Rhinolophus ferrumequinum: one gene and its partner. The protein of the gene in region 1 interacts with the protein of each later gene in a pairwise test. Links are inferred from orthologs where the notes say so. Each region holds a gene or a part of one and is shown on either strand. Other genes may lie near its edges. The genes, in order: AP1B1 and AP1G1.

Evidence for each region.
Region 2: the proteins of AP1B1 (region 1) and AP1G1 interact in a two-hybrid assay, tested with the Homo sapiens proteins (2 studies listed by BioGRID, with this or other methods). The link is inferred for Rhinolophus ferrumequinum from reciprocal best matches to the Homo sapiens genes AP1B1 and AP1G1.

Annotation. Positions count from the first base shown.
Region 1 is NC_046308.1:18,829,329-18,845,398, reverse strand, and holds the start of AP1B1 (AP-1 complex subunit beta-1), read left to right. Parts: upstream 1-9,068; 5' UTR 9,069-9,225; intron 9,226-16,070. UniProt on the Homo sapiens protein: Subunit of clathrin-associated adaptor protein complex 1 that plays a role in protein sorting in the late-Golgi/trans-Golgi network (TGN) and/or endosomes.
Region 2 is NC_046298.1:20,872,433-20,887,530, forward strand, and holds the start of AP1G1 (AP-1 complex subunit gamma-1), read left to right. Parts: upstream 1-9,042; 5' UTR 9,043-9,373; intron 9,374-15,098. UniProt on the Homo sapiens protein: Subunit of clathrin-associated adaptor protein complex 1 that plays a role in protein sorting in the late-Golgi/trans-Golgi network (TGN) and/or endosomes.

The DNA of each region.
Region 1 (16,070 bases):
GTGTAGCCCCAATGCGAGTCCCAGGGGGCACTAACCCAGCTTTGTACCCCCAGCTGCCCAAGGTGGAGCAGATGGAGCCACAGCACCAATAATTCCTACAAGTACAGCTGGCTGCCTTGCACGTGTGAGTTGTCCTATGCAACCTTGGAGACCTCCACTCCTCTACCCTGAATTCTTCCTACCTCCCAGACGCCCTAGCACTGTAGGGACTGCCTTCCTAGACGTAGCCCCAGAGCCCCCTGGTGGCTGTCCCGGGCCCAGCTGCAGATGCCCGTCTGGGCATCATGGCAGTCCAGCTCAGCCCCACCTGGGAGCCCAGCTCACAGGTTTCTCTTGACCCAGCTGAGTTCTAGAGCAGGATCCCAACCCAGATGTTGAGGCCCAAACCCTGCTCCTGGGAGAACATGATCCCATCTGGTGGTGGTGAGGATTCACACCCACCCACAGATTCCCGTCACCAGTTTTGTCCCCAGGGTGCCCCAGTTCCAGGATACCCCTTGACCAAAGTGCCTCTATGATCCGGACGATTGGGTTTTTATGTAGGATTCTGGGTTTCCTTTTTGTTTTGTTTGGCCCTTGGTTCAGCAGGTCACTACACCTTTTTGTGGTCGGCGCCAGCTTGGGAGAAATCTGTCCTCCTCCAGCCACTGAGACAAGGCAGTTAGGCAAGCTGGACTCTGAGCAGGCCGTCAGGAGGGGCAGAGAGCTGTAATGTGGGGTAGGACAAGAACGTACTGGAATCCACAGGCATAGGCTGGAGCCTATGTGGCCCGTCTGAAACCAGGTGTTCTTGCTGCTGCTAACTTGGTAGTGTGTGCACACAGGCGTCTTGGAGAAGCCGCGGCCCTTCCTCACAGAGCTACACACCTGGCCTAAGAGTGAACGGCTGATCCGGGGAAGGTGGGCCAGTTACAGAGCAGTTGCAGACCTGCCCCTCCCTCATGCCAATCTGCTTCAACGTGTGCAGGTCACAAAAAGGGCTGCTGTTTTGCTTCTGCCCTCCAAACCTTGCACAAGAACCTCTCCTGTGGCCCACCCAGGGAAGAGTATTCTGCGACATGTCTTTTAGCCTCGCCATATTGACACATTACACATCCATCACGGCTCTGAGGCATCCATCGTGATCCTTCCAGCTGCTGATGTGGATTTGTCAGTTTTCTCATGTCCCCCTGCCCTCCCTAACTCCCATTACCCGTCAAGGAAAAGAGTCCAGGCTTTGGAGGCCCACATGTCTGAGCTCAAACTCTCGTTCTACCATGTATGAACTGAGCTTTTAGCCTCAGTTTCTCCATCTGTAAGATAGGGATAATAATGGTACACAGCCTGCAGAGGTAACATGAGGATTAACAATAATTCACATAACGTACCTAGGATGCTGTGTTCAGGTAACCTAATTAATATTAACCTAAAGGAAGGACAATCAATACATTTCATCTGCACTTAATGAAATCATGGTCCAAGGGTAATTTATTTGGAAAAACGGTTGACTGCAGTGCTGGAGCAGAGAAAAGACAAGATGAGCCTGGAAACCTCTTGAAATACCAGAAAGTAAGAAAATCCTGAAAAAACATGATGAGGGCTTGTCAAAAGGAGCCAGGCTAAAAAAATTCCCAAGGGCCAAAGTTGGACAAAAAGATCAACAAAATAAATGATTTAATTGGGTGATAACTCAGAACAAAATGTTCATGAGTTCATATGCATAATAAATCATTGAATTTAAATAACTCATTGACTATGGATAGAAATAAACCATTGAATAAAGCAATGGGGACAAAAGGAGAGCTCTTCCTTACCGTAGAATTCCAATGAATAAATGTAGAATGAGAGAAATAGAAAAGTCATCATTAGATCAGCACAACAGAGATGTCTCACAGTACTTCCCCATAAGATATTCATTAATTACAAAGGAAAAATAGTAACTTTATAGTGGAGAAACATGGCAGACACTCTCTCAACCAGGAGACCACGGTTGACATCACCAGTAATAAGATACAGCAAAATCATGTATCGCGTCTCCCCTGATTATGATGCTCCAAGAAGAGCACATAACTTTTGTGCTATTGCCAAAAGCGCATCATGCTTAAAATTGATAAAACAAAGGAAAAACTGTCACAGACCGGAGAAGACTAAAGAGATATGATGATGAAATGCAATGTGGGATCCTGGATTGGATCCTGAAACAGAAAAAAAAGACTTTAATGGAAAACTGGTGAGATTTGAATAAAGTCTCTGGTTTAGTTAGTTATAGTTTACTATAGTTACAGTGTACTATGGTTAGATAAGATGTTAACATTAGAGGAAGCTGGGTGAAAGGTTAATGAGAACTCTCTACTATTTTTGTAACTTCTCTGTAATTCTAAAAGTATTTCAAGGGCTGGCCCGGTGGCTCAGTCGGTTGGAGCGCGTCCTCTCAACCACAAGGTTGCCGGCTCAACTCCCACAAGGGATGGTGGGCTGCGCCCCCTGCAACTAACAACAGCAACTAGACCTGGAGCTGAGCTGCACCCTCCACAACTAAGACTGAAAGGACAACAACTTGACTTGGAAAAAGTCCTGGAAGTAGACACTATTCCCCAATAAAGTCCTGTTCCCCTTCCCCCAAAAACATAAAAAATAAAATAAATAAAATAAAATAAAACAAAAGTATTTCAAAATGAAAAGTTTAAAATAATTTTACAGGTTCAAAAGGAAGTACAGTGGAAAGTCCCCTATCCTCCCAGGTCCTTCAGCCACCAGGTCCCTTCCCCACAGGGATTAATGTTATCAGTTTCTTATGTTTCTTTCCAAAATAATCTATGAGTATGTGTATGCGGCAACTAATGTAGATTGTATCTACCATGTTGTTTAATCTGTTTGTCGTGCTGGCCTCTGACTTCCACATTCCTCAAATGCCTGGTGATCCTTGGCTGCTTCCTCAGCTTTAAGCAATGCACTGACAGCTAAGTGACAGCTCTGACATGAGTGGGCTTGTCCACTGTGATTCTCACTGCCTCGGAGCCCTGTTTCCTCTCTGTTTTTACTGTATTACACCCCTTACCCCCACTACCTGGTGTTCCGTGGTCCAGGGCCCTCTGTTTTGCTCTTTTCTGAGATCTTCTGCTGGATGAGGGGGTACATAACGATAACGTCTTCTGGTCAGCGTCAGGGAAGGATCTGGCGATGTCTAACTCCTTTTCAGACTTTCAATCAATCCTGCAAATTTTAGTGCATTTTTCACTCCTACTTCCAGACGTTTCTGGTGCCACCAGTTCCTGAATCTTTGGGGGCTCTGTAGTATAAATTGGGTTGCTTTTTGGCTTCCATCTTCGTGGCTTAGGATTCAGCTAAGTTCTTAACCTTTTATCCATTTGCTTTCCCATTTCTAGTGTCTTTATCATTGTTTCCTTTCTTGTTCTCATGGCTTTTGTGGATTTCTACCTTTAAAAATCCCTTTAACCAAGTGAGATACCTGTTCACACCCATTAGGAAGGCTATTATTTAAAAAAAAAAATCTGAGAAACAGAAAAGAAGTGTTGGTGAGGATATGGAGAAATTGGAATTCTTGTACATTGCTGGTGGGAATGTAAAATGATGCTGCTGTTGTGGAAAATAGGATTGCAGTTCCTTCAAAACTTAAACATAGAATAATCACGTGATCCAGCAATTCCACTTCTGGGTATATACCCTAAAGAACTGAAAGCAGGGACTCAAACAGGTATTTATACACCCATGTTTCTAACAGTATTGTTCACAGTAGCCAAAAGGGTGGAAGCAACCCACAAGTGTCAATCAGATAAATGGATAAACAAAACGTGGTATATCCGTATAATGGAGTATTACTGTCATAAAAGAATGGAGTTCTGACATACACTACAATATGGATGAACCTTGAAGACATTGTGCTGAATGAATAAGCCAGACACAAAAGGACAAATGTTGTATGACTCCACTTATATGGGGTACTAAATCCAGAGAGACAGAAAAGAGAATGGTGGTTGCCAGGGGCTGGGATGAAGGGAGAATAGGGAGTTAGTATTTAATGGGTTTAGAGTTTCATTTTGGGAAGATGAAAAGAGTTCTGGGGATGGTTGTTGGTGGTGTTTGCACAACAGTGTGAATGTACTTAATGCCACTGAAGTGTACACCTGAAAATGGTTAAAATGAGGGGCGGCCAGATGGCTCAGTTGGTTAGAGCCCGAGCTCTCAACAACAGGGTTGCTGGTTCAATTCCCAGATAGGATGGTGAGCTGCACCCCCTGCAACTAAAGATTGAAAACAGCGACTGGACTTGGAGCTGAGCTGCGCCCTCCACAACTAGATTGAAGGACAACGACTTGGAGCTGATGGGCCCTGGAGAAACACACTGTCCCCCAGTATTCCCCAATAAAATTTAAAAAAACAAAAGGTTAAAATGGTGGGGCAGCTGGTTGGTTAGAGCGTGGTGCTCTAGCAAGATTGCCAGTTCGATCCCCACATGGGCCACTGTGAGCTGTGCCCTCCACAACTAGACTGAAACAACTGCTTGACTTGGAATTGATGGGTCCTGGAAAAACACTTAAATAAATAAAAGTTTTTTTTTAAAATGGTTACAATGGTAAGTTTTATGTTATATACACTTTATCAAAATTCTAAAATTCCCTTACTATTGTTTTGGTGGGATTTCAGAAGGGAGCATAGTTACATGCATAGAAGTTTCAGGGATTATTTAGAAGAGAGTGTTTTATTTGCCAGGTGTAGTTGGTTTGCTGGTTTTATTATTTTTAGTGTTTTAGAGTGTCATCAAAGAATGATGTATTAATTCCAATTCTTCTATACTGGAGTCTATTGACATTTTCTTTGTGCCCTAATGCATGGCCTTTAATAATCACAGTCACTACTGCTTATTTAGTGCTTGCTGGGCATGGCTCTAAGAACATTACCTACAATATCCACTGTAATTCTCTTGACATCTGTGTAAGGGGACTAGTCCCATTTTCTAGTTGGGGAAGCTGAGGCTCAAAGAAGCTAAGTTATGTGTTCCCAGGTACATAGCCAGGAAGTGGCTGAGTTGAACTAATACTAATACAAATAGAAGCTCCCATTGAGGAAGGGGCTGTTTATAGGTTGCCAGGCACTGTAAGTTCTACAATTTAATCTCTTTAACAACTTTGCATGGACACCCAATCAGCCCCATTTTCCAAATTGGAAAGTGAGGTCCCACGGCTGGGAATTTGAACCCAGGCGGGGTTCAGAGGCTGGGCTTTTTCAATAGCACCAGCAAAGGGTGGTTCAGTCCTCTCAGGGGCAATTGAGAGGGGACAGCAGACCCTTTGAGAAATGGCCTATGGTGGCAATGGAGCCAGGAGAGGGTGAGCAGAATTTTGCTCCTGGGAAGAACAGGGATGGGGGAATGCGAGCGTTTGCAGCAGGGAGAAATGGGGGCAGAGGAGAGGTCCCGGGCAGCCTCTAGACCCCTCTGCCATGGGGGCTGTGCCAGGCCTGCCCTGGTTGGGAAGGATTTGGAGCTGTCCACCCTCAGCAGGTGGGGGGCTGGCCCTGTTAGTGAGGCTGTGGACAAAGTCACCTCCTGCCTCCTTCCAGAAAGGATCTGAGGCAACTTTTAGAAATTTGTAGGATAAAAACAGCAAGCAAGCAGAAAATGAAGGAGAGGAATAGAAATCACATAAGAAGAAGAATCTAGAAAGCAGGTCAGTACATAGAAAGTCATTCTGTGAGCTGCCTGTGGGAAAATTTCACCGGAAGGGAAGGGTGGCAATTAATGTCACCTGTGGGCCCTCTAGTGGGCAAAGATGGAAAGAATACTTAATTCAACATACAGTACTTAGTATTATGCATCAGTGTGGCGATAGAGTTAGAAGGATGGGCTCTGAGATTCTGTGTGTCAGAAAGAGAAAGGGACTTGCTGAAGCTCGCAGTAGCTGAAGCCCAGCAGCAGGTCCTGCGTCATTTCATGACATCACAAGTACTTCCAACCTTCCCCTGATTGGATGAAACGTCATGAAGCAGGTAAGCATGGGGCAAGGGGGAAAGCATGGACCCACTGTTCCCTCGTGAAGTTGGGAGAGTTCCTCAGCTTCTCAGGGCCTCAATGTAAAGTGGGGGTTATCATAGTGCCCACCACTTGAGAATGGTGATAGATGTCAAGAACATACAGTGGTACTTGTCCCAGGAGGGGTTCAGAGTTCTCCGAAAGGAGAAACTAAGGTCCAAAGAGGTTGACAAACCTGTCCAACGTCAGCCAACTCAATAGGGAAGGGAAGAAATGAATAGGGTTTGGAGAAAAGTTTTAAAACTTCCTCCTCCAGATAGGAGGGGATGTTATTGTTAGTAATGGTGTATTTGTCGGGAGAGGTTGTTTCTCTCTCCAAGTGGGCTTGACCGTCACTGGCTCTGCTCCACCCATCCTGGAGCAAGGGGCTCCTCCTGGGCCCGGGGTCTCAGAGGGCCTGTGTGGACTACACGTGCCCTAGATGTGACTGTTCTAGTTCTAGACACAGCTCTGAGTGTTTGATAGTGAGTGTGATTCGAGTAGGTGGCCAGCTGGATTCAGTGGTGGAGATGAAGAGGGAAGCCCCCGAGAAGCCTCTCTTCCCCACTTCTGTCTTCCACCTCTGCAGGCTGTAATTATCTAGCCTTTGGCATTGAGCTGTGTCTCTTATTAGTATTATATTTTTAGCTCTCCTGACAAACTGAGCTATGGGAGAGGAGGCCCAGGCCCACAGGGAAGTGGCGGAGAAATTGGCTTTGCCCACTGTCCTAAGTTTTCTCATCTTTACTTGGGGACAGTTGTGGAATCAAATTGTTAGGAGAGTTCAATGAGTTAATATGTAGAAGAGCCTAGTACAGTGCCTGGTTCATGGCAATTATTAGTAGTAGTAATATCATCCTTCACAGTTCAGGCTGGATGTCACCTCCTCCAGGAAGCCATCCCTGAGTTTCCCAGATTGAGTTTGGTGCCCAAGTCTCCTATACGTCCCTGGTCCTTCTGAGCTGTGTTATAATTGTCCTTTTATTTGCCTCTCTCCCACACTTAACAGTAGTCCCAAGGAGAGGTTGTACCACTTCGTGTTCACTGTTGTATCCCCAAAATGGCTGGCTCAGATAAGAGTGACAAATATATTTTAGGCGAGTGAGTAGGACTTATGAAGCACGTATTCTGGGGCTCTGGGACCAGTCCCTCAGCTCTGCCACTCAAACACTGACTTAAGCTTTTGGAGTTGCAGTTTGTCCCTACCCAGATAAAATGGGGCTGATGTGAGGAGCAAATGAGACCCTCTGCCTACCGACTACGGGCACATAAACATTCATTGTTGTTTTGCAAATTCAGATTAAATGCCCTCCAATTGTCCAGACCTCCCCTGGTCCTTTCAACCCTGGGGGAACTTTAGTTCCTGCTCTGGATTCCCATAGCCCCAGTGTATCCCCTATCACATTTGTGTCTGCAGCTCTGTTACTCTCCCTGGACAAACTGTAGGTTTAGCAAGGGTAGGGCCAATAATACCAGCACGGGCCAGGGAGCTGTGTCCTACACAATTAGACTGAGAAACAACGGCTTGAACCTGAGTGGGGCATTACAATATAGTCACAGGGATGTTAAGTACAGTGGAGGGAATATAGTGAATAATATCGCAATAACTATGTAATAGTGCTAGATGGGTACTAGACCAATTGCGGGGATCACTTTGTAAATTATATAAATGTCTTACCACTATGCTGTACACCTGAAACTAATACAAAATAATATTGAATGTCAACGCTAATTGAAAAATAAAAGTAAAAAGTATGTAAGAAAAAATAAAAATAATAAAATATTTTAGAAGACAAAGTTAGAGATGTGTACTTGTGTTTAATAAGGCCTTTTTGCTAATTAAAGTCTTTTATGCCCATAATGGTGTAATTAAAATGTTAAAATGTGATGCTCTCATTCTATTAATAGCAGTTTATCTTCCTGGAATTAAGATGTAAATAACAAACCCAAAAAACATTTACTTAAAATATTTTCTGGGTTAATTGCTTTAGCCCTGACTACTAAATTCTTTGTTCCTAAAACGAAAGAAAGAAAAAGGAAAGAGAAAGAAAGGGAAAAAAAAGAAAAAAACTATAAGGAGGAGAAAGTTAATAGAACAAGTGGGTAGTGAAGTGGCTATGGGAATCAAAGTCCTGGCAGAGCCAGCAAAAGGGAAATGGGGGGGCCGGCCCGGTGGCTCAGGCGGTTAGAGCTCCATGCTCCTAACTCCTAAGGCTGCCAGTTCGGTTCCCACATGGGCCAGTGGGCTCTCAACCACAAGGTTGCCAGTTCAATTCCTCAAGTCCCGCAAGTCCCTGCAACTAAGATTGAACACGGCACCTTGAGCTGAGCTGCCGCTGAGCTCCCGGATGGCTCAGTTGGTTGGAGTGCATCCTCTCAACCACAAGGTTGCCAGTTCAATTCCTCGAGTCGAGATGGTGGGCTGTGCCCCCTGCAACTAGCAATGGCAACTGGACCTGGAGCGGAGCTGTGCCCGACACAACTAAGACTGAAGGGGAACAGGACTTTATTGGGGAACAGTGTGTACTTCCAGGCCTGTTTTCCAAGTAAAGTTGTTGTCCTTTCAGTCCTAATGAAATCTTAAAAAAAAAAAAAAAAAAGGGGAAATGGGACATTATGAAGTTCTCTTTGGATAAAAGTTCCTTGGAGGGTCTAGTATTTTCCCCCTACAATGCAGAATTTCCAAAGGGCTGCACTGAAGGGGAACAAGCGCTAGACTAGACTTGTAGCTCTAGTTTTGACTCGTCCATTCATGAGGTGAGTGATCTTGAGCAAAACCCTGCCCCTCTCAGAGCCTCAGTTTTCCCCTCTGCAACACAGAAGGAAGAGATGGACCTCAAAGTCTCTACCCTTTTTTCCATCCACGTTAAATTACTGAGCGGTTAGGGGGCTAATTTTTCTCAGCGCTCTACAGGAGACATTGGCGAAGCCCTGCCGCGGCTAAGAAGGGGTTAATTCCGAACGGTTCCGCCCCCTTCTGGCCCCGCCCCGCGGACACCACCTCCCGCTAGGGTGACACCTTTGACCCCGCCCCCAGGCTGTGCGTCCACCGGAAGTGCCCGCGCGCGAGCAGCTCACTTCCGCTGGGCAGGTGACAGCCGCGGGGCTCGGAGCAGCTGGCGGCAGGGACGCACCGGGAGAGCGGGAGGACGAGGCCGCGGACATTTTGCTGCCCAGCCGAGCCGCGCTGTTTTGCCAAGAGCCGTTCGCACCTGCGGGTGAGGAAGCGGGGAGTCCGGCGAGGTTGGAGAAGAAGTGGGCGGGGAGTCGGGGGTCTGAGGTGAGGGGTGTACGGGGTCATAGGTCACGGAGGTGACGGGGCGCGCGCGAGGGGCGTAGAGTGGCTTCCCAGGCTCGGACGAGCCTGAAGGACTGCGGGTTCATTCATTCGCGCCTCCCTGGCCGCGGGCCTGCACTCCAGCCTCCTCAGGTCCGCAGCCCCTCCTGAGGTGTCCTCCCAGAGAGACTTCTAGACTTAGGCCCCGAGGAGCCTGCGCCGGGCCAGAAGGGAAACTCCCCTTCGGGTCCTCGTATCCTCCTTTGTACTCACCCCTCTGGCCATCCTGAGGCCTCCTCGTCGTTCAGGTCCTTATCTCTTTGCCAAGGTTCGAAAAGGGGGAAAAAAAAAAGAAATCAAGAAACAGCCGCCTGCTCCGTGGTGGCCTTGGGTTTGGTCTGTGTGTCGGTGTCTCATGGACAGGTTAACTGAGGGCATCTGTAATAAGACTAAGAATACGGAGGCAAAAGCTCGCTACTGGTTATTGAGCCCCTGCTGTGCGTCAGGCGCTGTGCTAAGTCCTCTACTTGCAAGGCAGCACATAAACTTCACAACGACTTGTGCGGTAGCAAGTGTTGTTATCCCCATTTTATCAGTGAGTAAACTGAGACCCAGAGAGGTTAAATCACACGTGGTAAGGTCAATCGGGTAGTACAGGCAGAGCCAGGGTTCCTACTCAGGTTTTCAGGGCCCCACAAAGTGCAGAGCAAAAAGACGCTGCATCAAGGTCGGGGTATAGGGGTTATTTAATATCTTTAATTATCATTATATTTCTTGGCACCTACGTAAAGATGTCGCCTTATTGCTTCTCATCTAACATTCTTAAGGGGCCTTTGATTCACCTTCTTGAGGACGAAACAGCCCTTCAGACTATTGCTGTGATAACCTTTCAGGGCCAGTGGAAGTTTTTCCTGACTCTTGGGAACCATGAGACACAAAACAAAAAATCCATGACTCTAATTTAAGACGATTCAGAAACTCTCCTTGAGAGGGGTTGAGCTGCACTCCTTTTGGAATAAAGAGACGAGCTACATGACCCCGAGGGGATCTTTTGGCCCTAGTTCTTGAACAACATTCTCAAAAGAAGGGTCTGTGTCCCTCAGAAAAGTGCCGGCCCCATAACTTTTTGGCTGGGGAAAGCACGTGTGGCCTGGGATACCGGGAGGTGGTTTGGTGGGCTGAGAACTGGGCTCTGTGAGGCTGCGCCTTCGTCCTGTACAGACACTTACTTGCTCCGCTTCTGTCTCACTTTCCCTGACGGTAGCATGAGAAAAACCTGCTGCCTTCCTACCCACTCCTGCGAGTTCCAAGACTTAATGAACCCGTGAAGGTTTCCACATGCCGCTGAAGAAAGCTGGGCTGTAAATACTACTGTAATACCTTTTTTTTTTAACTTTATGATCCGTTCTCCTAGTTGCACAGAATTCACAGAAACTTAATATTGTCACCTTATCCCTCTCCTTCCAAGAGAGGATTTGAGATGAAGGGACTTGTCACAGATGTAGGAACATGAGCAGAGCTCAGAGCATCTGACTCCCTGTCCCGAGTTGAGCCCACCAGGCTCCCCTGATCTCTTAGAAACTCGTGAAGAGCAGCTTCACTGGTTCTCAAAGACTCGGACCCCTCCGAGGTTATGTAGGGACGCTCTGCTGAGTGTGGGTTGAGCAGAGGGCTCGTGTATAATGGAAAACGCACTCCCATGTCCCCATCAGGGAACCCTGGGTCCCATCCCCAGCTCAGCAGATTCCTGGTAGTTTGCCCTGGGCAATTGATTGAGGCTGGGCCTCCCTTACCTCAGCTCTAAAATAATCCTGGCCGCCACTTTCCTTCCCCTGCCCCCAGCACTGGTGGGTATTGGGGTGAGATGAGGAAACTTGTACAGAGCCTGTTATTGTAGTGGGTGCCTTAACCCGAGGCAGTTGATGCCTGCTGGGGGCCTGTGCCTGGGGAAGGCTGTCACTCTGGTTTGTGGGGTGTTACTTACTTCTGCAAACAGAGATCTTTATATACACAGGACTTCTATCCTTCTGGTTTCACTTCCTAAAAGTTTTCAGAACAAGTGCAGTCTGTTAGTCCTGCTGGCTTTGGGCTTGGACTTACATCTTTTTCTAGTCATCCTCTGAAACTGTTGCAAGTCTTAATTGCTCACTTCCCAGAAAACCCCACCGCCCAGCCCCAAAGCCAGAGGTGCTGACAGTGTGCAAACATGGCTTGGGTATGGGTTTTGCTCTTTGGTGTGATTCTGTAAGCCGAGGGGGCCTCTGTTATTTGAAGATGTTTCTTTTTCTCAACAGGTCTTTTTAGCTAAGATAGGTCACGGATAAATTATCACAACCCAGAAATGGTTTTTGTATTCGTTTTCTCTTCACGCACAGAGGAACAAATAGCTCCAGAGAGAAAATGTCACTCGAGCACTTGGGGGATCCTTTTTAAAAAATCCTGCTTGCATATCCACGAGTGGTTCCTCTTTTCCCTCAGGCTAAACTCACATTCCTTAGCATTGCATCCAAGGCCTTTTGGGCCATGACCCCTGCCTGGCTCCTACTCCACGCTTCCACCTCCTCCCAGGCTCCAATCAAATTCAGCTGCTTTTCTGCAAAGCTCCAACTCTTTATACCTCTGTGGCTTTGCTTTCTGCTGTTCCCACTGCCTGAACACCATTTCCTGTGACCATCCTCCTTTGCTGGACCACTTGTTGGTGCCTCCCATCTGATCAATACCCCCTACCCTGCAGGCCTGAACTAGATGCTCTTCTTTGATGTGGCACTGTTCACAGTGGGTTGTTATTGCTTGCTTGGCTCTCTTCTATGTAAAAGGCTCTTAACTCTTGGAGAGGACTTGTCCTGTCTGTGTCTCCAGCACCTAGTAAAATGTCTGGCACGTGGTAGGTGCTCAGTCATTGTTCAGTGAATGAACAAATGAATGAATTGTCAGGATTCCTCAACTCCTAAGAAATTCAAAGAAATTCCAGATGGTCTCCGTCTATCCTCATGTCATCCCAGGGGACAGGGAGAAATCTGAGCAGTGGTGGTATTCACTATTATCAAACTACTGTTGCTACCACCCAGTGAGCCACCAACATGCTTCAGGGCCTCCAGAAACCTGGGGGTTGGGGGGGTGCTGGTGGTAACGTCTCTCCCTGTATAGTAGTAATAGTGAGTAACATTTATCAAGTACTACGTGGCTGGCCACTGTTGAGAGCTTTGTATGTATGGACATGTTTTAGGTCACAAACCCCTCAAGTATGTGACATTCTCATTTACAGTTCTGGCATGTTGTATCTGTTATGTTGTGCAGACCCCTGGAGAGCCCCTGTCCTACGTGCTGTGGCCACCTTTCCTTTCCCAACCCCTTGTTCTTGGATTGTCTCCTGTTATTTAATGGAGCTGAGGGGGAGCTTGGCTGTTCTAGACTTCCAAGCCTCATGCTTTTTGGGTTTTTAGCCTTGGGTTTGACCTTGGGCTTGCCCTTCATTAAAAGGGTCTCCCTGAAATCGGTAGACCTCTTCTATTAAGATAAGAGTATGGCTGGTCGACTCCAGAATGCTCAGAGTTTATCATCAGCTAGGATGCCTTAGTCTGATCCCCCAGGTTACCATCTCCTCTGTGGACTTGAGCTGGAAGGTGGCAGATTTGGAAGTCAGGTCTCAAAAGCTTTAAAACCAACCCTTCAGTGTCCATTTGCAAGGCTGAAAACGTTAGTTACAGCTGAGCTCTGTAGAGGCATAGACTTGGGTAGCACATACTTTTTACCACACCCTAATTGCTTTTGGGGTCTTAAGCATATTGAGAGTGGAATGACAAAATTGCATTATAGCCAGCTGTTGAGTCTGCTTCTTTGGTCTTTATTCTCTGATCGCTAAGCCCTGGGTGGCTGGATGGTGAGACACTGAGCACAGAACCTTCATACATCCAACATTCATTCATTCAGTGTTAATTTCAGACCCTGCTGTGTGCCTGGCACTGGGCTAAGTGTGAGGATAGGTAAACAAGCCAGACAGTTTCTGGCTTGGGTTGCTTACTACATTCTAATGGGGGAGAAAGACAAAGAAGAAATAGAAAACAAACATTAAAAATTAGAAAACCTGATAAGCTATGAGGGAAACAGAAGCATAGCAGCCAGCACCTGTTAAAATGTAAGTCAGATTTCGGGACTCCTGCTCAGAAGCCTCAGTGGCTCCCAGCTCACGCAGCGTAAAAAGCCAGAGTCCTTACCTGGATCTGGAAGGCCCCCTCCATTCTCGTCTGACCTCATACCCCCCTACACCCCTCCTTGCTCACTCAGCTCCAGCCATGTCACCTTCCTCGTATTCCTCAAGCAGGCCAGGCACACTCCAACCTTTGCCCTGACTATTTCTTATGCCTGGACAGTGTCACCTGCCACTTCAAGGAGGCCTTCTGTGGCCTCCCTAGTTAAATTTCAACCTCCCCTCCCCCACACTCCCTATCCTCCTTCTCTGCTCTCCTTTTCTCTGTAGCAGTGAATCACTATCCGAGATGCTGTGCATTTCACAGTTTTTCTTGCTGAGGGTCCCGTCTGCCATTAGGATGTGTGCTCTATGAAGGGAAGGCTTTTTGTCTGTTTCATTCACGGCTGCATCCCCAGCATGTAGACCTGTTTATGAACTGCGGGAGGTGGTCAGTAAACGTCTGAATAGGGCTACTGGGGGTGAGGACAGAAAAATTGCTACTTCGTGCGTGCAGGAATGGTATCTTTGAAATGATGTCAGCTAAGCTGAGATTTGAAGGGTAAGTTGGAGCAGCCACTCTAGAAGCTGGACGGGATAATCCAGGCAGAGGATCAGCATGTGCAAAGGCAGTGAGAGGTACACAGACGTTCCCATGGGCCTAAAGGCTTGTCGGCAGAGGGAAGGGCCCAGCTGTGCTCACTTCATAGCCTGTGTCAGAGCCCCCGTTAAGCCTCTCCCCCAGCATTTGTCCCCCACGTCCCACAGTTCTGGTTACTCTGTGAGCTGATGCCTGTGGAGCAGGGGACGATGGTCTGGCCTCCCTGAGGGAAGTGGCCTGGACATGTCTCCCAATAGAGACATTGCCACCTGATCTTCTACCCTCTGCCCTTTCTTTTCCCTCTTATAATTTATTTACTTACATTTATTGGCTGTAATACGGGTGATGGGGTTTGGCATTTTCAATTTCGATTTTGTCAAAATAGCTTGACAACCACATTAGATGTACAGTCTGATCCTGGCAAATGGAACCCTGGGAAGTGGCTGTCTAGCTCAGGATGGTTTTACAAAATGTGAAAGTTCCTCAAGAGGAGAGTTTAGCACTAGTCATTCTAATATTTATTGAGTCCCTACTATTTGCCAGGTACCAGTCTAGGAGCTGGGACTACAGTAGGGAATAAAAGGGACAAAATCCTTCTCCTCATGGAATTTATAGTATGGAGGGAGAAAACAATAGACAATACAAATACATCTTATAGAATGTTGGTATTACATACTTTGAAGAAAAAACTAGATGAGAAAGAAGACTAGAAAGTGAGGTGGATGTGTACAATTTTAAATAAAGTGGTCAGAGAAGGCCTCAGTCAGAAGGTGACATTTGAGCCAAGATTTAAATGAGGTGAGAGACTAAGTCATGAGGCTATTTGGAGAAAGAGCCTCCCTGGAAAAGTAAACCATGTGTGCAAAGGTCCTGAAGTAGAAACATGCCTATTTTGTTCAAGGGTCAGCAAAGAGGCCCATATGGCTGGAACTGAGGGAGTGATGGAGAGAACAGTGCGAGAAGAATTCGAAGAGGTAGTGGCAGGGAAGGTGTGTGTGAGAGACAGGAGGGGGTGTACATCTCATACAGGGCCTCAGAGGCCATGAGGCCATGATGGGGACTTTGGCTTTTACTCTGAGAGAGACGGGGAACCGTTGTGGGATTTTAAGCAAAGGTGTGCCGCTGGCTTAGACTGTAATACGATCGTTCTGCCTGTTGCTGAGGTGGGTTGTGGGGGGCAGTGTGGACACAGCGTTGGTAGCATCCCAGTGGGAGGCGATAGTGGCCTGTGGCCTGCTGGTCGTGATGGAGCTGATGAAACGCTGCTTCATGGATTCTGGATTCATTTCGAGGTAGACCCAGTAGGGTTTGCCGATAGATTAGATGTGGGATATGAGCGAGAGAGTGTGTGTTGTCAAGGGTAACCAAGGCTTCTGGCCTGAGAACCTGTTCAAGATGATATTGGCAGTAACTAGATGATGAAGACTGCAGGCTGAGCCCGTTGGGGGAAACCTGAGGTCAGTTTTTATCATGTTAAGTTTGAGCCTCCTGTTAGCCATATAGACAGTCAAGTTTAGATGTCAGTTAGGCAGGTTGGATATATGGGGAGAGGTTGGGCCTGGGGCTGTAAAGTTGTCAGCATGTAGATGATACTTACAGCCTTGACACTGGATGATGTCATGGGCGCTCCAGTGTTGAAGGAGACGGAAAGGAGGAAGAATTAACAAAGGACACGGAGGAGCAGCAGACAGTGGGGTAGGAGGGAAAGCAGAGAACATGGCATCCTGGAATGCAAGGGAAGAACGGGTTTCCAAGAGGAGGGCGCGATGTGCAGTGTCCACGCTAGTCTGCGTGAGACTTCTCGTTGGCCAGGACCACTGCATCTTCTGCCGCCAGGATCCAACACTCTCTGGCACCCAAGCCCATCTTTGAATCCCATCCTTCCTTGCTACCTCCTCAGCTCCTTCCCTCCCACGTCCTAGCCTTTAGCCAGGCAGAGGGTCTCACAGACTCCTCACCACACATGCTTGTTTTATCCTTAGGTAAGTCACTCTCTCAG
Region 2 (15,098 bases), on another chromosome or scaffold:
ACATTTTGTGATCTTTTTTGTTATCTGTCTCTCCCACTGGAATATCATCAGCTCCATGAGGACAGGGACTGTTGTCTGTTTTGTTCACTGTGACATTCCCAGTACTGTGCCTGGTTTATATTAAGTAGTCAATAGAGTTTGTCAAATGAATGAATAAATCCAGAGTACCACTGTTAAGGTTTGATGGCCTTTCTTGTAGACATTGCTATGCATATTTATGTCTAGCTTTTAGTCATTGGTGTACCACAGTGTCTGACATCTTAGGCACTCCAAACACAGCCACTGAAAGAGAGAGAGAAAGAAGAAGCACGTGGGCCAGAAAAGGTTGCTTTTCATCATCATTGACTTACACTAAACTCTAAGCTTCATGAGGGCAAGACCCATGTCTCTTTGCTCACCGTTTCTTCCCCAGTGCTTCCAAGAGTACTTGATATGTAGTCGGTATGCAATAAACAAATGTGAAATAAATTGAGAACCCAATGTGATTCTTACCCTCTTGCCTTAGGCTGAAGCCGCAGCAGACCGGCTCAGTGTTGAATTTACCAACGATGTCAAGAAAGGTGCCCTTGGCAATAGCGGTGGAACTGTAGCAGGATGTGGTGATTCACTTGGGGCATCTGCCAATGTCTGCATCAGGGCCCTTACTTGTGCCATCCCCAGTTCCTTGTTTCTCATCCCTTCTTCGTGAAAGACAGGTCAGTATAGAAACTGAATCTGAAATAGGAATACCAAGTGCTACTAGAATGTATTTCTACATGAGCCTTTGGAATAATAACATGATCTTTGTGAAGTTTCTTAAGGCCAGAGGGCATATTTGTAATCATTAAGCTTTTATTTGATGTGTTTTTATGCTGAATTCATGAGAAAAGAGGGCTATACTCTTTTATCAACCTCTTGACAAGGCCACACTACAGACTTCAAAGAACATTTGTATGAGCTGGACAAATTCGAAAGTCTTTAATGTACAGTGATTTAGACTCCTGTTTCAGTTTAGATATATTCAATTTACATGTCATGAAAACAGTTTGCTTTCCTGTTGAAAATAGTATAAAAATGTCATAACTGTGTATGTTCATAAATCTGAAGAAGTCAAATAAGTGAAACCTAAAGAGACATAGGCATTAATTTTCTTTACTGTTTGCTCCTTCAGTATGAAGTAAAGAGAAATTGTTTTATTCTTTTCAACTTGTTAGGCATTTCTGACCCCATGAAGCTCTTTTTTTTTTTTTAAAGATTTTATATTTCAGATGTAATTTAATTCTGATTTTCCTTGTTGAAATTATTTGTCTGAATAACACCTTATGTATTGCTCACCTTCTACTTTTGGCATGTAAGTCCTCTGATTTAAAAATTAAACAAAGAAAACTTTATGGAAAATTTAAACATATTCAAAATTAGAATAATATAATGAACTTCCATGTACCCATCACTCATTTTCAACAGTTGTCAACATTCTGCTGCTCTTATTTCATCTAGCTATTTCTTCCTAACACTTATTTTGAGAGAGAAGGAATTTAAAGCAAATCTCAGACGTTATATGATTTCACCTTTAAATACTTTAATATGTATCTTTAACACATACCCTTTGTTTTTACAATATAAAATAATGTCATTGTGATGCCCAACACAATGAAAAACAAATCCTTAATATCATATAGTATTTCTTACTAAATTTGTTTATCTCAGAAATGCATTTTTACAGTTATTTTGGGGAAATCAAGATTCACATATTGTATTTGGATGATATGTCTCTTAAATCTTTTAATTTCTAACACTTCCTTCTTTCTGCCTCTTCTTTCTGTCTTGCCATTTATTTGGTGGAAAAAGATTTCATTACACTGAATCATCTTTCACATGTAGCATCTCCAGGTTCAAAGATAAAAGATTTCCCAATTCTTGTATGAGGCCACAGGTGACAAAAGAAGCAAAACCCAGTCCCTCCTAAAGCTAATTTCCAGAAGGCATAAAAAGAACTTCACCTCAAACAAGAAGGAAGCTTGACTGTGATAAAGTTAACTTAATTTTAAGAAATATATTTATTGAAGGCTTACTATAAACAAAATCTGTCTTGGGAAACTCAGACCAGTTGCTTACCAGTGATTTTTTTTCCCCCCAGAATGACTCCTATGAAAAGAATGATTTGTTTCCTACACTGATTCCTAGTAAGTGTAGGGAATACCGGTGTTAGTTGAAATTGCTTCATATTTGTTGAAGGGATTTTAATTGTTATAAGACTATTCACCCCTCCATTGGTGAGAGAAGTTGTAAGTGATTTACCAAGAGTGTAATGTGTTCCTTTATGGTAACTCAGTTATCAAAGTGAATGTGGATCTCAAAGAGATCTTTAACACAGAAAAAGTTTTAAAACCACTGCTGCACTAGATCATCCTGTCACCTGTTTTGAAAAAGTGTGGGTTTTTTTTTTTTTTAAAGTCCAGATTGTCCTTGAAGGAGATAGCCAGCAAAATGTAAGCACTACCATAATTTACATGTTGGGGGAATTTTCTAGTTTTTTTCAGCCATATTATATGCTGTTCTCTCAAAAGCATTAAGAGCCTACTGTCTTTGAGGCTGGAATTTCATTCTGGAGGACACATTGTTGTCGCTTTTAATTACATTTACTGAAACAAACAGGTCCAGGATTCAACCCCCAAACTTCTCCACAGACAGAATCAAGAGCCAAGACTGGTTTTGGTGACTTTGTACTGCCTGATTTGCCTGATGTAGAACCTCAAGCGAGCCTATCTATTGACTTATGATTCCGAGGAAATCGATTTTGAAGATTTTAACTGGAGACTTGAAATGCTGAAGAAACCCACATAATTCCTTAGTCCTGGATTGAGTATTTACCTGGGAATTAGGACTCCTGGGCACAAATTTTAATATGGCCACCGATGTGTCCTTCTGAAGTTTTCTCATTTATTAATACAATTCCTTCTATCTCTTAAATTCTATGGTTCTCTGTCTAATAATGTGTGTGTGTATACATATATAATCGTACAATTATTCTTGTTCCTTAAAATTCTGTACTTCTTATATGAAGATTCCTCACCTACAGAATTTTATTAATTGTAGTCAATAAACTTTTGTTTTCTCCTGGATTCTTATTTCTCTCGTAATTATCACTTTTTCCAGGGAAGCAGAATGGTGTGTATTAAAATCTCATCTCTGTGCTTAGTAGCTATAAGACTTTTGGCAAATGGCACCTATCAGATGTGCATAAGAGAGCTAAGGAACTAGAGGGAAGAAAATGAGTATCTTAAGGAATGTGCAAATACTAAGAGTGAATGAGAGAAGTGTTGTCAGGAAATCAGTGGACTCCTGCATGCCTCGCTTCAAATTTAGACTCCACCACTTGCCAGCTGTTAGCCTCCTTTATCTCACCTGTAAAATGGGGACAATAATGAGGATTAAAAGAAATAATGTATATAAAGCTCTTAAACACTTAGTAGGTGCGCAATAAATATGTTTCCTTTCTGGTTTCTATTATTTGCTAAGTTCCAGTGGACTCAATATTAGTGATTCTTTGAGACTGGATAAAGGAGAGGCTAAGAAAACAAGATGGCCAAATTAATTATTTTTTGTTTGTTTGTTTCTTGTGTAACTGGCATTTTTGTCTGTTTGTTTTTTTTTCTTTTTAAGAAACTCTATTTTTTAGAGCAGTTTTAGGTTCACAGAAAAATGTCAAATTGATTTTAAATGCAATGATTAGTTATGCAAAATCTTTATTTCAGAATCCTATTTTATGTGTCCAGGAACATTTACATGGCTCCTTTGGCATGTGAAAAAGTGAAATCTGGACACCAATTTCTCTCTTTCAAAAAATCAGTTTGCTCTTGAGATTTTTATTCTAGGATATCCTCCTCTTTATCAAAGAACAAACTTATTCAAAGAACATGGAATTAGAGGGAGGATCTTCCAAATCCAAGGCCAGGGACTGATCTGCACAGCAAGTTGGCTGCCTCTCCTCAGGAGTAAGGCACTGCACCCTGGCACCGGTTGGAGTTCTAAATCATCCTCTGGCATGTGTGAGGAGCTTGGCGGGGAAGGAGATTGCTGTTCCCTGAACTGGGTACCAGGAACTGGGTGCCCCAGTTACCGTGGATGTCCCAACACTTCTTGGACTTCCCAGGCTCATTTGAAAGCAACTTGCAGGACTGACTGATTTTAAAGAAACAAGGATGGGACTTTGCACCTAAAGGAGAACGAAACCAATTTACTGTGGATCCTTCTTGGCATATAATGGTGTCCATATTAAAGCAATAAAATGACTTGAGTGGGAAACAATGAGTCAGAAGCTCTGTTTTGTTTCTGGATGGTGCATCTTCTCCAGTGGCGTCGGTTTTGTCTTCCCTAAATGGCAGCATGGCACCATTTCCTCAGTTAGTGTTTGACTTGGTTGCAGGCTCATACCTGGTGAGATTTTTTTCACTCAAAAAGTTCCAACATAATACAGAATCATTTACAAACCAAGTGTAACTACACTACAAAAAAGAAAATATAACCTAAATATGACATAAAGCATCTCCGGTGGTACTTCAGGCTGCCTCTTTAAAAAAAGTCTCTAAAGCAAAGAAGGAACTTGGCCAAGCCTCATATCCTCTTTGGTCTTTACTTTGAAGGAACATAGAGTAGATTTCCCCATGTTCTTGGTAGGAGGTCAAAGAGTGTAAGGAGTTGGCTGTTAGAATCTTAAGTTTTACATCAGGATTTTGTCATAACTGAAGGATTAATTCCTAAACCATTTTCTCAGGCCAGGATAAATGGTGATTAGGGACCATGCTTAAAAGAAATGTGAAAATGCTTTTTGCAAAAGCATTACATAAATGACAGAGGGACTAATTTCTCCCTGACTTTCAGGCTTATTTATAGATTCGTCACTCAAATGGTAACAAAACAGGCCAGTGGAACTGCCTCTTTGACTCACGACACTGCATTTCCTATAGGGTTGCGTCTCCTTTCTCTACTGAGATCTCTGGCACATGGAGAGCAGGAAGAGTTCCCTGTGGAAGATGCTGACCATATTTCCACAGAGAGGGCTTTCCCCATCTGCTGTAAAGGTCATATGGCTTCAGCTGATGATACTGAGTCATTTAAGAACCCCTCTGCATCTAAGTCCAAGAGAGATGGTTCCCTCCGCCCCCCATTGCTCCCCCCACCTTCCTCCTCAGGACCACAGAGTCCAACTGCATGCCATGTCTTCCAAAAGCCCTCTTTCACTGCTGTAGCTCCTAGTGATCTCTCACTTTTCTGCTTTTTTGGGAACTCAGATGTATCTGCTGAGTAATAATATCACTGATTTTTTTGGATTTGGGGAGTTTTTAAAAATCTGGTTTTCCTCAATGAGATTATAATTATCTGGAAAGTATGGATAGTCAGTCCCTTTTGAAATGCCTGTTATAGATTCTGTACACCCAGAACAGCATGATGTAGTTGAAAGAGTCAGGCAACATGTTTGGTGAATGGTTACTATATGCGCCAAAAGATATATTCAAAGTTGAAAGGTTTAGATTGGAGTCTGGTCTTTGCTGTACGTAGGTGTGACAAATCATTTCATTTCTCTGAGCTTCTGTTTTCTCATCTCTAAAATCGGGATAATAAAATTTATCCTAAAAAGAGATAATATTTGTTGAGCCCTTACTATATATCAGCTGTTGTCGTAATATTAATACTTTAAATGTATCAGCTCATTTAATTAACACACCAGCCTTAAGATGCCAATGCTACTATTAACTCCATTTTACAGATGGGGACACTGAGGTTCAGAAATGCTCAGAAATGTTAAGTAACTTGCTGAAGGTCACACAATAAAGAGAGGAAGAGCAGTTTTAAACCCAGGCAATTTAACACCAGAAACCAACACTTTTAACTATTCTATAATGCCTGTATGCTTTACAAACTCATGGTGGGTGAGAAGCAAATGAATCAATGCATATGAATACACTTTTGTAAATTGTAAAACATAATGCACTACTGTTACTTGTAGTGGGCAATCAATAAATGCTTTAGTTGAATTGTCAGGTGGCACAAAAAAGTTTTATACTTATATTCTCATGACGTTTGATACTTTTCAAAGTGCTTTCACACATTTGATCTCTCTGCATAATAGCTGCTTTGAATCCATTTTGGAATAAGGCTAGTCATAAATAAATACTGGCCAGCTGAGGAAATAGGCCCCAAGATGGTAAGTACTTTGCTCAGGGAACAAAGTGAGTTAAACCCAGCCAGGATGGGCATCCAAGTGGTCTCACTCCTGGCCAAAAACTGAAGTTTTGTTTGTTGTTATTATTTGTTAAATTGAACTGTACAAGGTATCAGTAATAAACAAGACCATAAAAATAATGATCTTTTCTCTCAGCCATTATCTCTTCCTAGAAATTTGTTTAATACTTTCAGGCTGTTGCTATTTTAAAAACAAAAATCTCTTTTAGCATTTGGATCCATAAAACTGCATTATCTTATAAGGTCTTTCTTTTTCAAAATGTAAAACATTTTTTTCAAATAAAAGTACAGTATGCTCCTTGCAAAAACAAAACATAGTAAAGTAAAAAATCCTCTAAATTCCACCATCCAAAGATAATCATCTTTAGATTTTAGTATTATCCTTTAACTGTTTTCCTATGTATATACAGTACACACTTTTTACAAGCTCATTTTATAATAATGTTTTGTAATGTTTCTAAAAATCTGTGAAACCATAATAACCTCCATTTTTATTGGCAGAATAGTGTTTCATTTTATTGATGTGTTGTAATTTATTTATCTGAAATTAGGGATTATGTTTGAGTAGATGGTGATTAAGTCTTCCCAAATTTCAATTGCTAGCCACAGAAACCAAAGATTCCAGGATAATGATGACCATGCTACATACTTGGTCAATTGCTTTTAGTTTTCAGTTACATTGAAGGAGGGGTTTGGTAATTATAAAGATAAATATAAGTTAAAAAAAATACATGAAGCGGGTTTGCCTTTTATAATGTCTGTCATTTTCTCTTTCATGCTCTATCATTGGCATGGTAGAAAACAGCTCCATCCTCTTTCTTAAGAAGATGGCTTAACTTTTCTTTTGCTGTTTGCGATGGTAAACATTTAAATTCAACCTCTAAGCAAATTTTGTCACGTTGCAAATGGAATACTTTAGCTAACTGCTTTGTAAATTCCTTACTTTTTTTTTTAAACCCCACTGCCCACCCTATAAATTCCTTACTTTTATGGGAGCCTCAAACTGTAGTACTTTAGCATGTGTTCATGCATAGCTATACCTCAGAGGAATCCATGTCAAGGCATCATTACGGTGTTCCAGTTTTGCACTACTATAGTCAGCCCTTGCTATCTGTGGGGGATTGGTTCCAGGACTCCCACGAATACCCAAATTCAAGGGTGCTAAAATCCTTTATATAAAATGGTGTCATATTTGCATATAACTTAAGCACATCCTTCTGTATGGTTTAAATAATCTCTAGATTACTTATAATACCTAATACAATGTAAATAGTAGTTATATTATTTATGGAATAATGACAAAGTCTGTACATATTCAGTACAGATGTCTGACTACATAGTACACATCAGCGACAATGTAACATTTTTCCCCCAAATATATTCTAGCTGTGGTTGGTTGACTCCTCCTAGAAGCAACTAGAGGATACTGAGGGCCGACTGTATTTAGGGCTGCACTGTGATCCAGGGATGCACTGTACAATAGTTGCATGGAGGGGATACAAGGTGACTGAATTCCATAAGCATTTTACTCCCCAAACCATTTGCCCTTGGTTGATTCCACCCTAAGTGTGGGTATGGGTGTGGGTGGGTGTGTGCCGTTTTCTAATTTGCAAGGTGGCATGGTATAGCAGAACCCCATGGGGGATGGGGAGAGTCTTTCACTAAGTCAGTTTCTCTGTGCCGCAATCTTCTTATTTGTAAAACTAAATTACATATGCCTGTCTAGTCTGACTCAGAAGATTGTTGGAAGATTAGATTATACATACAAAAATGCTTTTGATAAACAGTGTGGTATCAATATTTAATAAAAAATAATTACTATTATTATGCCCTTGATCTTTTTCTCCCCCCCAGCCGCTTGGCATGCCTCAGTAGTTCAAGAACAAAATTGTACAGGTGGGCCTATTCAGTTCAATTTTTGTAAAATCTTTTGAAATTCTGGCATAAGAATGGCTAAGAGGAAAAGTGTAACCTTTCTACTGTGTTTCCCCGAAAATAAGACCTAACCGGAATATAAGCCGTGGCATGATTTTTCAGGTTGACATCCCCTGAACCTAAGCCCTAATGCATCTTTTGGAGCAAAAATTAATATGAGACCTGGTCTTATTTTCACGGAAACACAGACCGACAAGTCCTAAAATCAAGATTTGTGGTTAGTTCAGTTCTCTTTGGCATCTACCCAGGTACTGTGCTTTATTCACTTTGGGAGGTTCACTTTATTGCCAATCTATCTGAAGGATTTTAGTTTAGGTAGGTCACCTTTCCTTTAAATGGGTCAAGCTATCATGGCCCTCTTTACGTTTACATGGAAAATATTCGTATCAGGTGTTAGTAATTATTTATCAAGCCAGGAACTGTCTGGTTAGCCTGTCTTTGGCTCCGTTCATTAGTTCATGGAGTCAGTCAGAAAGCCTACTCTGCAAGGATTTTAATTGTCACTAGTCCAAATCCTCTCAGTTTATATATGAGGAAACTGAGGCCCTGAGAGTTTAAATGACTTGTCCAACGCAGATGGTTGAGCGGTGGTACTGGGCTTGGAATCCATTCTTCGTGTCATCCTCCAACTCTTTTTGTAAAGTATGTTGCAAAGATGCCATAAAACCACAGAATCCAAGACCACCTGCTTCGCCTCTCGCACTTCCTTCGCTACCATCTTGCGAGCCCCGCCCTCTTCAGGTGACTAGGTCGCTTCCTGGTAGCCTAGGCGCCCCCAAGCGGAACCAATGTCGGTCGGCTGCTGGGTCAGCCGGATCTTTCTCGCTCAGACTCTCCGCAGCGGTGACTCGGCAGCAGCGTCTCGCGTCATCAGTGACAGCCCCGATTCATGCTACGCTTTGCGTCGCTCTGCCAGGCGCAGTCACCTCCTCCTTGGCAAATAGTCCTCGGCGAGGTTCGAGTTCTTGGATAATTAGAGAGGGGAGGCACGAGAAGTTAAAGTCAGAGGACGCGGAATCGACAAGGAGAGGAAGATAGGGACCGAAGTTTTTCGATAGTGTGTGAGCTTAGTTAAAAACTCCCCGCTTCCTAAGGATCCCTCCGCCTGCAGTAGCGGTGGTGAGGCCGAGGGAGCCGCCATTTTGGATGTTCGGTTCCTGCTGCCACTGCTGCCGCCGCCCCCGGAGCTGCTGGTCTCATTCGAGGTTTCGGGCCGGTGAGTGTCACTCGCGGCGCTAAGAATATATTGCTGCTTTTGCCCCACGCTTGCCGGTAGCTCTTGGCCGGAAGCTTCCTGTCAATCCCAGGGGTCCGGTCCCAGGCTGTGGGGGGGTGAGAAGAGAGGACAGAGGCTGGGCCAGGAGGGGCCCGGAGCCCCAAGGACTGCTCCGACTTCTTGCCGACCGACCCCCGAGGCCTCGGACCGGGAGGCACCGCGCGCGGTTGCATTCTGTGCTGTGGCGTTGCTCGGTCGCTGCGGGCTTCCTTGGACCCGTTGACTTTCTCAGGCTTCGATCCTCATTTGAGGGCTCATTCGGGGAGCCTGGGGTTAGCCGGGCGGGTCCCACCCCCGCGTGTCTTCTTGAGCCACGTATCAGCGTTCTTGTATCTTATACCCGGGTCAGGTCTTTCCTAGAACTTTTCAGAATTTCCAAATGCTAAGTTAATTCCAGTCTGCACCTGCAGTGTTGTCTTCTCAGAACCGGACATCGGCCTCGCCTCCCTTTAATCTTCCGAGCAACTTCTTTCCCAATTTTCCGGGTTTTTTTTGGTTTGTTTTTTGTTTTTAAACTCACCTTCCAGTACACTGCTTACCCTTCTCTCAAACTCCTGATCGTGCGTACATCAGTTTCTAATAATTCTCCCTATCTTCCCGACTGCCTGAAAGAGTTGGGACGCTTGGTTATGTTTCCCTGTTAGGAGATCCGTCGAAACACTCGCCCAGAGTGTCCTTAAGCAGTAAACGTTCATAAACCCCATTAAATGGCTTTTGGGAGGGGTGGTAGGGATAGGCTGTCAAGTGTTTTCTCATTTGTGTGTTACTTTCCTTTGCTGAACACTTAGCTTTTTGGTTCTTATTGACACTGTTTTTCTTGGTGTTTTATATCCCTAGGCATGGAAATCTGCCTGTGAAGAATCTTAATCTGATGTAGGTAGAAAGGAAAGTAACTTTTTTTGCTGCTGTAGGGATTAGTTAACAGAAGAGAGGAGTGAAAGAATATTTCTTAGTGAACTTAACTTTCAGGTGTTTTGTACAGTAATCATCTTTGTCGACGGATTCTAAAAAATACTTGGATTGACTTCTGTATTGGATTTTTCTGGATTTTTAAATACTTCTGTTCCTCGTAATATTTGTCAGACTGTATACACCTTAACTTTTGGTTTAAAAATAAAGACTCTCCAGGTACCCATAATCTCACCACTTGTATTCTACTCTTAACATATGTTTGCAGTGTAGCATGCTTGAATAAAAAGCATTTTACAGTAATTCACTGCTTATTTTCTACATTTCAAATTAGGTGAGTGATTGTATCACCTCTATTTCATCTTAGCCTGGGTTTTTACATCTGCAAAAGAGAAATGACTTATTTGAGATTACAGCCTAGTAACTGCTGAACTTAAAATTTATAACTTGAACTGGACCAAATATTCTAATACTTCTAATTCATGTCTAAGTGCATTAGTCTTATTATCAGGTAGGTACATTCCTGTACTGATCATATCGTGTATTAGTAGAAGACTGAATGTTTTCATTGTAAATAGTGTTCTTGTTATTTAAGACTTCTCAAAAATAGGCGTATTTACTCTGAAGCTGTGGAGTTTCTCTTTGTTTAAAGGAACTCTAAACCAAGTCTTTTACCAAAAGAGTTTGGTCAAACGTGGAGCATCTATGGAATGCTCACTCGTTTATTATTGGAAGAGTTATCAGATAGGTGTCATTTAATTCGGTTCATTTCATAACACAATGTACTGATATTTAAATGTCATTCAAAACTATTTACTAATGGTTTGCATTCAGTTGGAGAAAGTGTCTTTCTGCCTTACAAATTATAAGCAAAGTGCTGTTTAGTGCACTGTAGATTGATCAGCATAGACCTGAGCATCTATTTTATCTAAAGTTGTTGGGATTATACTTGAATGAAATTAACATTATTGTTTAGAAAACCTCAGTTAATTTTTGGGGGGAGCAGTTGCTTGTTCTTTAATCTGTTTCTTTGACAGCAGTTCTAGATTTGAGGGTGAATTTTAGAGTGAAACTAATGTACAGATATTGTCAGCAATGCCTTGGTAATAGTTCATCCTACTATTTTTAAAAGTAGTCTTGAAATCAGTGGTGTATAAAAACAAAAATCCAGGTTTTTGTGATTTATAAAAACTTTTTATGCAAATTGAAAAAGTTGAACAAGTATTTTCCAAAACATTATTTTTTTAAAAAAATTGAATTGTGGGGTGGCCAGATGGCTCAGTTGGTTAGAGTGCAAGCTCTCAACAACAAGGATGCCGGTTCAATTCCCGCATGGGATGGTGGGTTGCGCCTCCTGCAAATAAAGATTGAAAACGGGTAACTGGACTTGGAGCTGAGCTGCACCCTCCATAGCTGGATTGAAGGACAGCGACTTGGAGCTGATGGGCCCTGGAGAAACACACTGTTCCCAATAAAATAAAATAAATGAAAGTATAATTACTAATATCAAATAAAATATTTTTTAAAAAATTGAATTGGGAAACTACTTACCAAAACAGATTTTTGAAATGCTTAAATCCCGTTATTTGCATTCGATGAGGAATTTAAAATTTTGTGTATACAGAAGGACTTAATTGATAACAAATCTTTAAAATTTTTATTTAGATTTAGCTTCAGAAAATCTAAAAGTATTTTCTTCAAACTGCAGCAACTTGTTTAGTTGGTATTGGTGCTTTGTCAATTGTTTTCAGTTCTTGATTTTGGCTTTCTTTCATTGAAACCTTTGTTAATTCTGTTCAGTTTTTTTATGCAGGATATTTAAAGTAGGAAGCAATTTTAAAATTAAGAGAACATACAGATTTATCTAAGTTCTTATTTTTTTGGTTTACAAGTCTTGAAAATCATGTCTTGGTCAAAAAGTATTAGGATATTTTCATTTGCTTTTTATGTAGAAAATTTTATTTCAGTAAAGGCAGCCATTTCTATGAAAATAATGTGCAAGATTTTTTCTTCACTGAGGGAGTAACACAAAATACTTGATTTGGCATGAGTTCTGGTTACTATAAAAACTATCTCTTGTCAATGTTTGAAGGGTCCAGAAATGGGAGGGGGAAAAAAAACCACAACACACTTGCCAAACTTGTTGAGTCAGCATCAAGCTAACACTTTTGTATAAAAGGGTAAGGTTTAGGATAATATGATTGAAACAAGAAATGCTTTTTTCACCATTAGATACTTAGACGTTTTGCTTTCCCCAACCCAACTTGAACCATTGGAGAGGAAAATTATCAGTAAGTTATAAATATTGTCAGTGAAAAACAGGTTTAGAAGGAAAAAGTTACTGTTTTTTAAAAGAGAGAGAAAATATATATAATTTTTGTACTTTATGAATATTTAAAGACATCTTAAAGGAAAGTAATTTTTACCCCCCCCAACCCTGTTGTTACAGTGCAACAGTCACTGTGAAACCTGATAATGCAGTTGCTTTGCCTCACTCCAGCTTGTTGTAGCTGATTGTTTTTTCTATTGTACAAAGCATCCTAGACTTTTCAGCTTGTCTGGCTTTGAGGTTAATGTTATGGATTCCTGGGAAGAGTAAATATGAGAAAGGCATGAACTTAGATCTTTTGAACTGTAAAATAGTTGCACACCCCTTTTTATAAGCCTTTGGTTTAAAATTAAGACTGACATAGAATAGATGATGTACTATTTGGTTATAAGGTCTAACTTTTATAATTAATTACACAATTGTACACCTCAAAGTAAAAGGAGCTCCATTAGTGTTTTTACAACTCAATTTAGTGAAACTATTTATTAATTGTCACTCTTGGGAAATTGTTCAGTTTCAAGCTGAAGAAAAGTTCAGTTAATTTTTCTTATTTCTGTTACAAAGTCTGCAGAAAAGATTTGGTTCCCTTTTCACTTGATGAATTTTTTTGAAAACATGGTATTTTAAAAATCTGGTGAAAATATGGTTTGAGATGAATGGGGAAACTAACTGAAAATAATTAGGCACACTGTAGAGTAATTGAATCTATAGATATTATGTTTTTGGTATGATTATTGAAGGAAAACTTTGAAGTAGAAAGAGCCTGTTTTTTTGATAGTACCCAATATATGTGATGTTTTCATAAATGTGTATTTGTCTCTACCAGTGAATGCTTGGCGTCATTTTCTTTAGAAAATTTCCATGATGAAAGCTTAATAAATGGTGTTGATTATTTAAGAAAGTAGAAAGAGGAAGTAGCTTACAATTTGATTTTATTAGCATTTGGTTGTATTATTTTTATTTACACTCACAGAACTTTTTGCTGTTCCTTGACTACTCCATGTTCTTTCATTCTCCTTGAACCTGTTCTTCCTATAACTGGAATCTTTTCTTTCTCCCTCTACCAGTGAACCCATTCTTCCTGCTCTCTGTCTACCCCCAGGCAAAGAGGTGTAACCCTTTTTTTAGTACTTGTTGAATTGTCTACTTTTCCTTGGAATTGTCTACTTTTCCTTGATCTTCCAGAGGACAAAAACTATCTTAAATTGTGGCATTTCTAATACTTGGCACGGTAGTAGCTATTCTGCAGAATGGATGATATTAATAAAAATAATATGAAAAAAATTGTTCAAGTGCTCAGATAAACGGTAATTGGTCGATGCTAGAGCCCAAAGCAGTCAGGGTCCTGAGTGAGTTATGGGAATCTATTGCAGGTCCTTTACTTGTAACTGGGAGAGTTGATGTCAGTGAAATTTATTTTGAGGTTTAGAAAACATATACAAAACCTTGTCTCCGTGTCTTTGAAAATATTATTCAGATGTTTAATTCTGAAATTGACGTTATCCTTTTCTCTTTGTGATTTATCGAGACTTTTTCTTACAAGCTTTAAGTGGCAGCAAAGAAATCTACTCCTCCTGCCATCTTTTTTCTTTTCAATACCTATTTTGTAATTTGGTATGCTGAGGAAACTAATAGTAAGTTGAGAACTTTTCCCCCAAAATGGAAATATGTTGATAGTTCATTATTTGTTTCTGACTCTCCCCATGTTTTTGAATAATCTACTTTCATCGTGCTGAGGTTTTGGTTTTTGGTGTTTTTTATTAGTTTTTTTCGTCTGTCTTTTTAGTTTACAAAATAATAGGTATTCATTGTATTAATAATAAGTGAAAAAAATTAAAGTTATACTTTTTAAAAAGCGAATCATTTTCCTTCACTATTATACTCTAATAGCCCTTCACTATTATACTCTAACTATTTTATCAGTTTATAGGTATACTTCATTATTTCTCTTCATGCTGGGTCAAGTACTGTATATACAAACATAAATGTGCATATTTAGTGATTCTTTGTTTTTACAAAAGAGAGATATTTTTCGTATTACTCTGTAACAAGCTTTTCTTAACATACCATGGTCAGTAAATGTAATTCTATCTTGTTCTTTTAAATATCGCTATTGTGTCACATAGTAGATTTTACCACCAGAAACAGCACTACAATAAATGTCCTTGTACACGTCATCTTATTTGCTGGTGCTTTTATTTCACTTGGTCTTAGCCAAAAGGCCAAGAAGCGATGCTGGTGCTTTTATTTCTACTGACTTGAATCTCCAAGGTGGGATTTCTGCGTTAAAGGAAGTATATTTTAAATGTTATTATTGCCAGATCACTCTCTAAGTAGGTTGTCATAATTTCCACCTTCACTGGCAGTGGGTTTTTCTTATTATCATATTATTAGATGTAATTACTTAATTTTTACTGGCCTGCTATA